3 linked regions of the Astyanax mexicanus genome follow. The protein of the gene in region 1 purifies or fractionates together with the protein of each later gene. This does not show direct contact. Links are inferred from orthologs where the notes say so. Each region holds a gene or a part of one and is shown in the gene's direction. Other genes may lie near its edges.

Region 1 (3,752 bases):
GTGCCACCATTTTGTGCGACAGCGTCGGTGTTGTGCAGAGTTCTGCTACCCATCGATATGTGTTTCTTACAGCACTGCGCATGCGCGGACCAGCACTTTATTTTTTTAATGCATTTTTGTGCATTAAATATATCTGCTTGAATTTTAAAAAGCATTTCACATGGCAGTTGATAATAATAAAACGTATACATACAAATACTAATCTTAATTAAATTGCATTAACTTTACCCTGATACATTAATGTAGGCTTTCTAAATATACCTAATATGATACTTTTTTAAAAATAAACATATTTTAATTTATTTTTATCCAAATATGCAATGATGCAACACCTTTTCTTCTTTTCTTACTTTTTTTCGTAGCTTTTTTATATTTTTTATTTTATCTATTTTTGTGTCTACTGTAATGATGCTGCTGGAAAATTTATTTCGCAGAGGGAACCCTCCCAAAGCCATCAATAAAAATCTACCCCTCCATCTATGTATCTATCTACAGCTCTAGAAAAAGTTAAGAGACCACTTCAGTTTCTAAATCAGTTTCTCTGATTTTGCTATTTATAAGTATATATTTGAGTAAAATTAACATAGTTGTTTTTTTTTTTCGTTAAACTACGGACAATATGTCTCCCAAATTCCAAATAAAAATACTGTCATTTAGATCATTTATTTGCAGAAAATGAGAAATGGCTGAAATAACAAAAATATGCAGAGCTTTCAGATCCTAAATAATTCAAAGTTCATATCGTTCATAACGTTTTAAGAGTTCAGAAATCAATATTTGGTGGAATAACCCTGGTTTTATTGTATTTTCTTGGAATGTTCTCCTCGACCAGTTTTTATGCCACTCTTGTTCAAGCAGTTCAGCTTGGTTTAATGGCTTGTGATCATCCAGCTTCATAATTTGGTAAAATCAAAGAAACTTATCATTTTGAAGTGGTCTCTTATTTTTTCCAGAGCTGTATATACAGTACACACTAGGGTAGCACGGTTTGGCGGGGTAACACAATTCGTCAGGACACCGGTGTGTGGCAACGAGGAGTTGACAGCTGGCAAAACCGATCAACTATAGGTTAGCTAGGCTACATTCCTGCCGGGATTTAAATCAGTTTTTATTATTTTCTAAGAGAGTAGATGCAAATCTGTGTTAGCTGAGTTTGCTGGTGATTAGTATAGAAGCAGGTTAGCAGAAACATTAGTAGTTAGTTGCCAGATTCCCGTAGAAAACGACCAAACATGTCGGAGGAGCTGTTTGGCCTGGAAGACCCGAGTATGAAGATGGAGGAGGACGGGGAGGGGGGTGGAGAAGAACAGATACATGCCGGTGTATCAGGAGACGCTGAAGGATCGAAGATTGATGCCAGTAAAAATGAGGAGGATGAAGGGTAAGAAGTGGGGCTCATGATAGAGGTGGTGGAGAAGCCTGAGCTTTGTATGGTGGCTGAGCATGTAGGCTAGCTATAGCTAGTTAACGCTAGCTATCTGCCTAATAATAGCTAATAATATGACATTTATTCTTAAATAATTAGAAATATCTGTACTTTAAAGTCTGTATTTGCATCTTAAGCCTCTCTTTGGGGTGTGTATGCGATTATATCTGAGCCAGTTGTCATTTTAGCTAAAAAAAAAAAAAAAAAAAAAAGATAGTAAAAAAAAATGTTCCAGAAAGTGAAAAATCTGCTCCAGGATTTTTTTTATAGTCCAGCTACATTTGCAAGCTAATTATTCGGTACTTACTGTAAATTTAGTATTAGAGATTAAATATATCAGTACTTAAAAGTCTTTATTTTTACTACAAACCTCTACAAAGAGTCTCGGTGTGCTTATACAGCCACTTGTCCAACCAAAGCTGTTAAACCAGTCCACCAGTCAACCAGTCTCACTTTTCCCAAAAAGTGAAAATCTACTCCAGGATTTTGCTCCAACTGCCTGGTCAGCCCTGCAGAATTCGTTTCCGTTGCAGCAGGGCTGCCCTAGTTAGAACAAAATCCCGGAAAGGATCTTTACTTTCTGGAACTGGATTGTCCACATTGCATTCATTGCAAAGCTAGATAGCGAATGCTAGCAAGTTTCTACCCAATGAAACGAATTATTATTAATTTAATGCGTATATTGTGTATATATTTGCAAACTATCCCCCACAAACTCTGTTAAACAGCGTCGTTAATAATGGGAAAACTTTTATATAACGTTAATTAGCAGGAAAGTAATTAACTAAAGCTAGTTAACTAAGCTAACGTTAGTTAGCTTTATTTTACCGGCGTTGGAAACGCCAGTGAAGTCGTTGCTAAAACACAGGCGCAGCTAGATAACCTAATCTCTGCATTACACGCTATGATAATTAGATTTTTTACACGGGTTTTTTTTTTTTGCAAAAATGCGTAAATGTAGGCTAATTTGACCAGTCTGAATTTACGCCTGAATTTCAAGCTATTTTTACTTTTTTAATTTATTTGTTATTTGTTAATAACGCAAACTTAGATTAAAACATTTCATTGACAGACACGTTTTATTTTGTTTTGTGAATTTTGTGTTTCTCATATATAATAAAACCATAATGTCTGTTACTATGTGTCCTGTTTTGCTGTTTTTGGATGATTAAATTTCCTCTTTCCTCTGGGATTTGGCTTTTAGTTTATGTTGAAATTTGCTCTCCTTACAGTCAGCCTTGTGCAATCTTTCTTTTTATCTGTGGTCATTAAAAAAAAGGACAAAGAAGAAGAAACAAACATTTCACTCTATTCTTGCACCCTATTCTTCTTTTGGACACAAAAAATACCTTATTTTTTATTTAAATGTTGGAAACATAATAATGTATGCATAGTGTTAAGTTTTTGGTTATACATGGTTTTTTATTGTTTTTTTTTATTATTGTATTTTTATTTTAATTGTGAGGGTCTAGGCACCAAAGATGTTCACTTTTACACCTGTGTTAATGTCATTTAGCAATGAACCTGATTTAATTTGACTTGACAGGCTTGTAAATAAGTGGTTAAACATTTTATTTACACTTTTTTTTTTTTACACATAATTAGCTTTTTTTTTACAGCACTGACAGAATAAGAGTAGCATAACTGTGTATCCCCTTTCTCAATCACCTAAAGTTAAAGAAAATAAAATTGAAATAGCTTAAAGGCCTGCCTCCCCTATTAAAAGTATATTAATATGGAAACAGCATTTGCCATATTCTCTTTTGTCTTTTTACAGGAAGATGTTTGTTGGAGGGTTGAGCTGGGACACAACAAAGAAGGACCTTAAAGATTACTTCTCCAAGTTTGGGGAGGTTGTAGACTGCACTTTAAAACTAGATCCTATGACTGGACGATCCAGAGGCTTTGGCTTTGTGCTGTTTAAAGAGGCTGAAAGCGTGGAAAAGGTAGTGTCCTTTGTTATGCTCTTACTCATATTTTGGTCATTCTAGACCAGGGGTTACTGTTCTTTTCTGCAAGGGGTTGGAGTGGTGGCAGGTTTCTAGGGTTTAAACAATACTAAAGAACACCTCATTTAACTCTTCTCAGTAGCTAAACTGATGAAATCTGTAGAAATGGTGACCCCTTTTGCAGATCTGTAGAGCTCTAAAGCACTCAAGCCACGAAATTAACATATAACTTTATGGCCCTTTAAAGAGAGCAAACCACATTAAGTGAAGAACTAGGGCACATTGCAGTAACTGGAAAATATATTTTTTTATTTTTGTAGCTACAGACAGCCATTGTGGGCATCCGTATCAATTTTTATGTAGCGTTTATCGATATT
Region 2 (3,752 bases), on another chromosome or scaffold:
CGAATTAGGTTAGGGAAACATGGCCCTAAAAATAATGTTACAATAATTCAGAGTGTTTCTGTGATATGTGCTACTACAACAATAAAATTAGCTACCAAAATACTACTGTGGAGAATATTTTGTGCATGCGCATAAACTGCAAACATAAAAATATATAAAAAATAACATTAAAGTTTTACAGTAAATAGCAAAACAAATACAAAATAGGTTGCTTTTAAGACAGACTAAAGCTAGTTTCACAATATGGATTTTGTCATTGTTTTAAAATTAAGACAATATTATTGTGTATGATAAGACATACCCCTACTGCAGATATAATGTTTATTTTGGTGCTGAATGGTTGAGCAAAATGTGTGTGTGTGTGGAGGTTTTGTCTGTTTTAAGCTTCATTTCTATTTTTTTTTATCTGTTCATTCATTAAAGAAGTAAAAAAAAGAATCCTCTGTACTCATAGACCATGTAGACCATCTTTAACACACACCTACTGCTACTGAATCAGCTTAACTACTGTAATCCCCTCCAAGCCCTAAAATAATGCTACAATACTTCTGCAATATGTGATACTGCAACAAATTAAATGTTAAAGTTTTATTTAGTAAAGAAGTTTTAAACATTCATTAGGATTTTTTTTAAAATAACCATGTTATTAATAGAAACAGTGATTTTGAATTAAATAATGATAATGTTACAAAAGAACTAACCAAAATATCAGCTAAAAATACTACAGTGAATAAATTACACAGGTTGAATGTCACACATTGTCCTTTATCGTTCGCTGAGTGGCCCAGTTACACACAGGTTAATGTAAACGTGTCTAAAGTGAGTTATATTTTATATTGTATGTCACGCAGCTGGTTTTGATTTATTACATACTGATTAATGTGTATGATCTATTAGGTGATTTCATGTCTCCTTGATTTTACGCTCTGTGTGTGTGTGTGTGTGTGTGTGTGTGTAATTGTAATTGTACACTCTGAGCTGATGTCACCTTGGGTGTTACCGCTCCTCCCCCGTTTTCCGGGCGGGAGGGGTTTATGAGGGTAGGCTCCGTCCAGAAGCACCGCGGCTTTGGCGCAGCTGAAGTGAATCCCAGCAGCTCTTTCTGAATCGCCTCGTCCTGAAGAAGAACCATCCGAGAGAGCGCGCGTTCCGCGTTACTGTTTTATACTAGTGAATTCTGTGAGTAATCGTGATTTTTTTTAAGGCTGCAGATATGAGTGCGATTAACGTGAAGAAGCTGAAAGTGAACGAGCTGAAGGACGAGCTGAAGAAGCGCCAGCTTTCAGACAAGGGGCTGAAGGCCGAGCTGATGGACCGGCTGCAGGCCGCGCTCGACGCCGAGGCCCAGGCTGGAGGAGAGCAGGACGGCGAGGAGAACGGGGCCGAGGACAACAGCGCCGAGCTCGAACCGGAGCTGATGGGTGAGGAAGGGGGCGAGAGCATGGAGGCCGACGAGGGGGAGAACGGAGGCGGCGCGGATGAGGAGGCCGCAGCGGCCGACTTCGACGAGCTCGGCCAGGACGACGAAATGGCCGAAGACGAGGAGGACGACGGAGACGCCGCGGTCGACATGGACAAGGCGCTGGAAGACGACGACGAGGATGAAGACGAGGCAGATAAGATCGGTGATGAAGACGGTGAGCAAGAGTCCCAGCCAACAGAGGGTGAGTGCATCAGGAGCCGATTCTGAAGCTCGTAGTTTAACCTAGCCAACCAGCTAATTAATGTCCGCCGGCCGGGACTGCCGCTAACCTAGCAACACTCTGCAGCTTTAGCGCCCTGTAGACTGAGCTAGTAGATAGATAGTTACCGGCTTGTTAGATATTGAGAGGAAAAAAAGCAGGTTCGATTTTAATGAATTATTTAGGTAGTTCGTTGTGTAAGGAGTTTGGTTGGTTTATTTGGTATTTTAGTATCAGTATAGTCGTTTTTGGCTCGAATAGTCAGCTCGTCTGTAGCTTTTGTTTCCTCTCAGCGGTCGTGTGCGAACCCCATCTGTCGTTATTGTTTTATGAGCTAGTCAGGCTAGGCTAGTTAGCGTTAGCCCGTTAGCTAGAGCTGTCCGACCGAAACAATAGGTTGCCGGTTTTTGCAGTACTAGAAATTTAATATTTGGCTACAAAACTGTGCACGAATTGTTTTTTCGCGTTTCTACGTCCAACACGGGGATTAATAGCAGGTTATAGGGTCTTTTGTTAGCCTCTCCGATATATTTCGGTTAGAGGGTAACGTTATCCGGCGGGCCGCGCGGGTTAGCTAACTAGGCCCTGGCGCTGCTGCGACGAGCGATCTCCACGAATCCGTATGTAACATAACGTTAATACGATCTTATATAGCTAGCTAGAAAGCTAAAGCTAAACTCAAGGTAATGTGGTGATTTAGTGGCTATTGTTTAATTATTTAACCCGAGCAGGGAATTGTTCGTTTTAATTTGGGTTTTTGTAGCTTAGCATAGTCTGAAGTGGCTTAGCCGGGGCCGTGAAGGAGCTGGCTGTATTAGCAGAGTTAAGCTAACTGCTAATTTGTAATGAAGCAAGAAGGTCAAGAATCGTTTACTGTGAGTTACGTTAACTAGTTAGGTTAGGTTAATGGCTGTGCCGTTTTTGTGGCCGTCGAAGTTGATTTTATCTAGTTTAATGTGTCCCCACACATATTTGATCGTGTTCATTCAGCAGTATGAGTAAAAGGGACTAGCGTAGCTAAATATAAGCTGCTGTTCATCCTCATCACTCACATGTGAAGAAGAGACACGTTAAGATCTCACATTTGGTTCATTCTCCCCGAATGGGCCAGTTAACAGTAGTACACACAGCATGAATGCACATCTTTTTATACATTTTTATATTATTTTAAATACATATTCTGTCTGATCAGAGGTGGTCAACTTGAGTGTAACTGGGGCGGGAGGAGTCCGAGAACTCCTAGTCGTGTGGGACCACCCTTAAAACCAGGGTCCAACACGCACGAGCATTTCATCACTCTTTGTTTTATTTCCAAAGGAGATGCGGACAAAGACAACAATGCTGATCAGAAGAATAAGAAGGGTGTTAAGAGACGCCGGGAGGAACATGGAAGGGGCTACTTTGAATTTATTGAAGAAAGCAAATACAGCCGGTAAGGATGGGAGTAATGGCCTTCGTCATCCCAGAAGTGCCACTTTTAATATGTATTGGCTTTAAGAGCCAATGCTTTACTTGTAGGAAAAACACCCTCACATGTCTCTTTTAATAAAGTGTAAGCCAGTTGAGGGTCATCCTTGGCTCATAAAACCTTACCTTGCAGTGCTTTTGTATCCTTCTGAACAGGCTGCAAACTCAAGACATTGATCAGATGTGTAACCTCTAGTCTCAATCATCATGACTTGTCATTGTTCCTCACACACTGTTTTGGCAGTTGTACGCGCGTATGGCTGTGAAAGCATCCCTTTGGCTCAAAGGGACAACAGGAGAGTAGCAGCTGTCTCATGACGGTGGGGTGGGCAGTGGGCGTTTATGTTCAGACCTGCAGCGTGTCATATAGCCGATCACATGTTTTTGGGGGGCGATTAGGTGTTGTATTCTGATAATGACCCAGTGTGGGAGAAGATGATCGGGAAGGGATGGTCGGGGCATTGTTTCAGCGTTCACTCGTGCCTTTTGTTTGCATGCTGCATTTAGCTTGTCTTCTCTGAATAAATGTTTTCTTGCAGGATTTTTTTTTGCTGTTCAGGAACGTGTGCTGCGGTCTTCCATTTCTTGTTTTTGGTGTTTTTT
Region 3 (3,752 bases), on another chromosome or scaffold:
AGAAATTAGGGGATACATATATATAGATGTATATTTATGCATATTTATTCAGCCCTACATATAAATAATAATAATAATTTTCTGTATAAATCATTGGTTGTTCTGATCAGTAATTTTTGTGAAATATATCATATAGCAGATGAACACAGTGATATTTGAGAAGTGAAATGAAGTTTATAGGATTTACAGAAAGTGTCCAATAATCATTTAAACAAAATTGGAACAACCAATGTTTTATAAAGGTAAATCATGAAAATATCAGGGGTGCCCAAACTTTTTTATACCACTGAATAATGTATTTTCCGTTTCGTATTTTCTGTTCCATATTTTTATTAATTCCTTTTTTTTACATTAGTAATTCAATTTACACATAATTTTGTAACAAATAAATGTAAGCAACAAAAAGACTGTGGAGATGTCCATGGATCAGATATATATCCCATTTAGGAGCACATATGAAAGTGACTCAAATCTGATTTAAAAAATCTAATTTGGCACATTCACACAGCCATAAAAAAATCTGATCTGAGCCACATTGAGCTAAATCTGATTTGAGTCACTTCAGCCTGGTAATGTAAACATAGTAGCGTTAGTAAATTAATAATTGCATGATAACAGGAATTAAAACCCCCAAACTTCAAAGAAAATATTGTGTGGTATAAAATACCAGCAAGAACTTGGGTTATCTAAGCATTTCATGAGCCATTTTATTAAAAAAATGTAGTTAAGGTCAGAAAATTGTTCAAATCCTCCTTCTGTTCTTAATCCTGAAAGAATGTCTTTTTTAAGCTGGTGTTGCTTATTCTTCCAAAAAAATAAGCTTACATGTAGAATCAGGAGCATTAAGGGTTAAAGCAGGATAAACAGATCTAGAGATGTCTTCAGCTTTTCTCAAAAAAGGCCCCTGTTGCAAAAATACTTTTGTTTAAATATTTGCTCCTCTTTTCTTTATTTGCCTTAGACTCTTGTATGTACATTATTTAAAGCCCCATGTTTTTTGATATTTCTTTTAGTTATTTAAAAAAAAATCTCTAAATCTTGAGGATTTCTATTCAAGCATTATATAAAAAGGTTTCAGGTTTGATAAGGAATATTACTGAAAATCATAATTGTAACTGTAATAGAAAGTATAGAAAAATAGTCAAGTAAATCTGCAGCTGAATTTGGTTTGATTTCTGTTACTGATCTGAAATTGTTTAGTTCTTCATACACACCTCTGTGTTTATATTTGCCCTAGCTCTATTTTTTTTTAAATCTCAAGTTCATAGTTGCACTTTTTTGTTTCAAATTACCCCTGAATACTATTTACCCTATTGCACTGTACATTGCACCTCTACGAGATTTTGTATTCAATGTTAAAAATTACATTACATTACATTACATTGCTTTTTCATTAATACTAAAAGATCTCTTTGAAGCCATGCCCCCCCCCCCCCCTTCTCTGACGTGCGCGCGCCCTCTGACGCAAGCGGCTCTCTGCCGGCGCGCGAGGAAGTGGCGAGCGCTCTCTGTGTGTCTGTGTGTGCGCGTGCCTGTGTGTGTGTGAGAGAGCGCGCGCACGTCTGTCTGTCTCGTGGACAGAGCCCTCAGCAGCTCCCCTCGCTCCGCTCTTCTAACCGCCGCTTCCAGCGCCCACAGCAGCAGCAGCACGGCCGCGGGTTGGAGGAGCCGCCCTCGCAGGAGAACCCACACCAGAACCGAACCGAACGGTGAGGCCCGGAGGCGGATTTTAGCGTTTTATTATTTTGGCGGGCGGCGGGGTTTGAATTCTGCGGTAGGCCGCGGCTAATGCTAATATTCTACAGCTAACCGGGCTTAACCTGTTTTCTCTGCTAGCTTAGCTTAGCTTAGTCTAGCCTAGCCGCGGTTAGACCGGTCGCGGTTTGTTAAATGGACATTAAACTCGGTCGTGTGCGGCAAATTTGGGTCTATAACGCGTTTAAACGCGTTTATAAGCGGATTTAAAGAAGCTAACGCTGCGCAAAAGTTGATTTTAGCGGATTTTGTTTAGTTCGTTTTAACCGGAGCACGCGAGGGGGGCGGAGCGCTGTTGTGTGTTTAGCTTGAGAGCTAACTAGCTTAGCCTAGCCTTGCTAGTTTAACACAACAGCGCAGCTACCTAGCGCTAGCAAATAAACACAAGCTCATAGTATGTCATTTTGGGCTGTTAGCTAACTTCCATGAGTGTAATTGAGTGTGTAACATTGTAGACTTTGTGTTTCCGTACACTTTGAAAGGTTATTAGAGCCCGCTTTTAAAATAATAACGTTACCCGTTTTCATTCACAGCTTAGCTGTTTAGCTTTAAGCTTAGCTCCTACCTCCAGCCTGTGGTGTGCATTTCAACAATGAACAAAAGCAGGTCACAACTGCTCACACAGCTTGTTTAATTAGCTAAATATGATCACATGTTTCTCACAGTTTGATATTATTTTGTAAACGTCCTAATTATCTAGTTCTATCATATCGGAATCACTTTTTTCTCCTTATGTCTTACATAAATTTAGGTAGTTTGTTAGCTATCCTAGCTGCATGTACTATATAGTTACCAACCTGGTCCCGTTGAACCTTCACGTTGTAGTTAGATAGTGTTCAGCATGTTCCAAGAAGTAATAATACAAAACAATCGCTTGTTTATTGACTGAAATGTGTGAGGCAAAATAAGTTCTTCCTGCACTATAGAGCAACAGAAAGTTTAAATGTTACTTGTAAAAAAAACCACACTATAGCAGAGTTTTTACTGGTAAAACGAAATAACCAAGTTATTGCTCTTAATTAACTGCTTGTTGTATTGCTGGTGTGATTTTAAGTTTAAATTGTGTAAAAATAAGTGTGGCTTTTTTGCCTCGAGTTGTCCTGCTAAATCTAAATTTGCTAATATGTCCTTATTCTGATTTGAATGAGGGAACCACTGCTTTATACTATTTGCTACTTTGTGGTGGTGGTGGGGGCTACTTTATGTATATTCATAAATAGCATAACTGAAGGTTATATTATTGTTGAGTAGGTAGCTTCCTAATATTTTCTAGTACTTTGGTTTTGCATGTTTTATAATGTAAAGAAAATCTGCAAGGAGGGTTGGGGTTACATATTTTTTCTTTATTTAAAGAGGCAATCACAACTCCAAATATATCACAGTTCAGATTTCTCTTGGCTGAGGAAATTTTAAGGTTCATTTCAAATGTTAATTGTAGCTTATGCTGTTTTGTCTCTTTCTCAGAAGAATGGCTGCTGAAGTGAATGGCAGCTCTGCTCCAGCAAAGGAGGAAGAAGAACCCATGGATGTCTCAGCCGGACACTCAGAGAACTACCAGACGCTCATAGATGCTGGGCTGCCCCAAAAAGTAGCAGAGAGTCTGGACAACATCTTTCAGACTGGTAAGTTCTCCAATACAATATATATGTGTAATGTTTTGCGCTATAGATATGATCAGTTTAAGAAAATATTGTTGCAAGCGGTCTTGACACCTTATTCAAACTAGCCAGAGTGATAAACATATTATTGCAACAAATCTGCTTGGTCTTAAAGTCTACTGGGTGCAAGTTTATTGAGTGTATGTTTGTGTGCTGCAGGTTTGGTGGCTTATGCTGACCTAGATGAGAGGGCAATTGATGCCCTGCGGGAGTTTAATGAAGAAGGAGCGCTGTCTGTACTGCAGCAGTTTAAGGAAAGCGACTTGTCCCATGTGCAGGTGAGACCTTCTTGGATATAAAGCTCACTTATTCTGTCTAAAGCAGATAATTGTATTAAAA

What was found. The genes of interacting proteins can lie anywhere in the genome.
Region 2: the proteins of hnrnpd (region 1) and hnrnpub purify together in Homo sapiens (affinity purification with mass spectrometry; 4 studies listed by BioGRID and IntAct, with this or other methods). This does not show direct contact. The link is inferred for Astyanax mexicanus from reciprocal best matches to the Homo sapiens genes HNRNPD and HNRNPU.
Region 3: the proteins of hnrnpd (region 1) and heterogeneous nuclear ribonucleoprotein R purify together in Homo sapiens (affinity purification with mass spectrometry; 4 studies listed by BioGRID and IntAct, with this or other methods). This does not show direct contact. The link is inferred for Astyanax mexicanus from reciprocal best matches to the Homo sapiens genes HNRNPD and HNRNPR.

Annotation. Positions count from the first base shown.
Region 1 is NC_064427.1:26,840,383-26,844,134, reverse strand, and holds the start of hnrnpd (heterogeneous nuclear ribonucleoprotein D0), read left to right. Parts: upstream 1-995; 5' UTR 996-1,232; coding exon 1,233-1,381; intron 1,382-3,203; coding exon 3,204-3,372; intron 3,373-3,752. UniProt on the Homo sapiens protein: Binds with high affinity to RNA molecules that contain AU-rich elements (AREs) found within the 3'-UTR of many proto-oncogenes and cytokine mRNAs.
Region 2 is NC_064408.1:59,825,274-59,829,025, reverse strand, and holds the start of hnrnpub (heterogeneous nuclear ribonucleoprotein Ub), read left to right. Parts: upstream 1-1,046; 5' UTR 1,047-1,213; coding exon 1,214-1,664; intron 1,665-2,999; coding exon 3,000-3,114; intron 3,115-3,752. UniProt on the Homo sapiens protein: DNA- and RNA-binding protein involved in several cellular processes such as nuclear chromatin organization, telomere-length regulation, transcription, mRNA alternative splicing and stability, Xist-mediated transcriptional silencing and mitotic cell progression.
Region 3 is NC_064409.1:73,208,138-73,211,889, forward strand, and holds the start of heterogeneous nuclear ribonucleoprotein R, read left to right. Parts: upstream 1-1,504; 5' UTR 1,505-1,709; intron 1,710-3,219; exon of another isoform or gene 3,220-3,222; 5' UTR 3,223-3,223; coding exon 3,224-3,377; intron 3,378-3,572; coding exon 3,573-3,691; intron 3,692-3,752. UniProt on the Homo sapiens protein: Component of ribonucleosomes, which are complexes of at least 20 other different heterogeneous nuclear ribonucleoproteins (hnRNP). hnRNP play an important role in processing of precursor mRNA in the nucleus.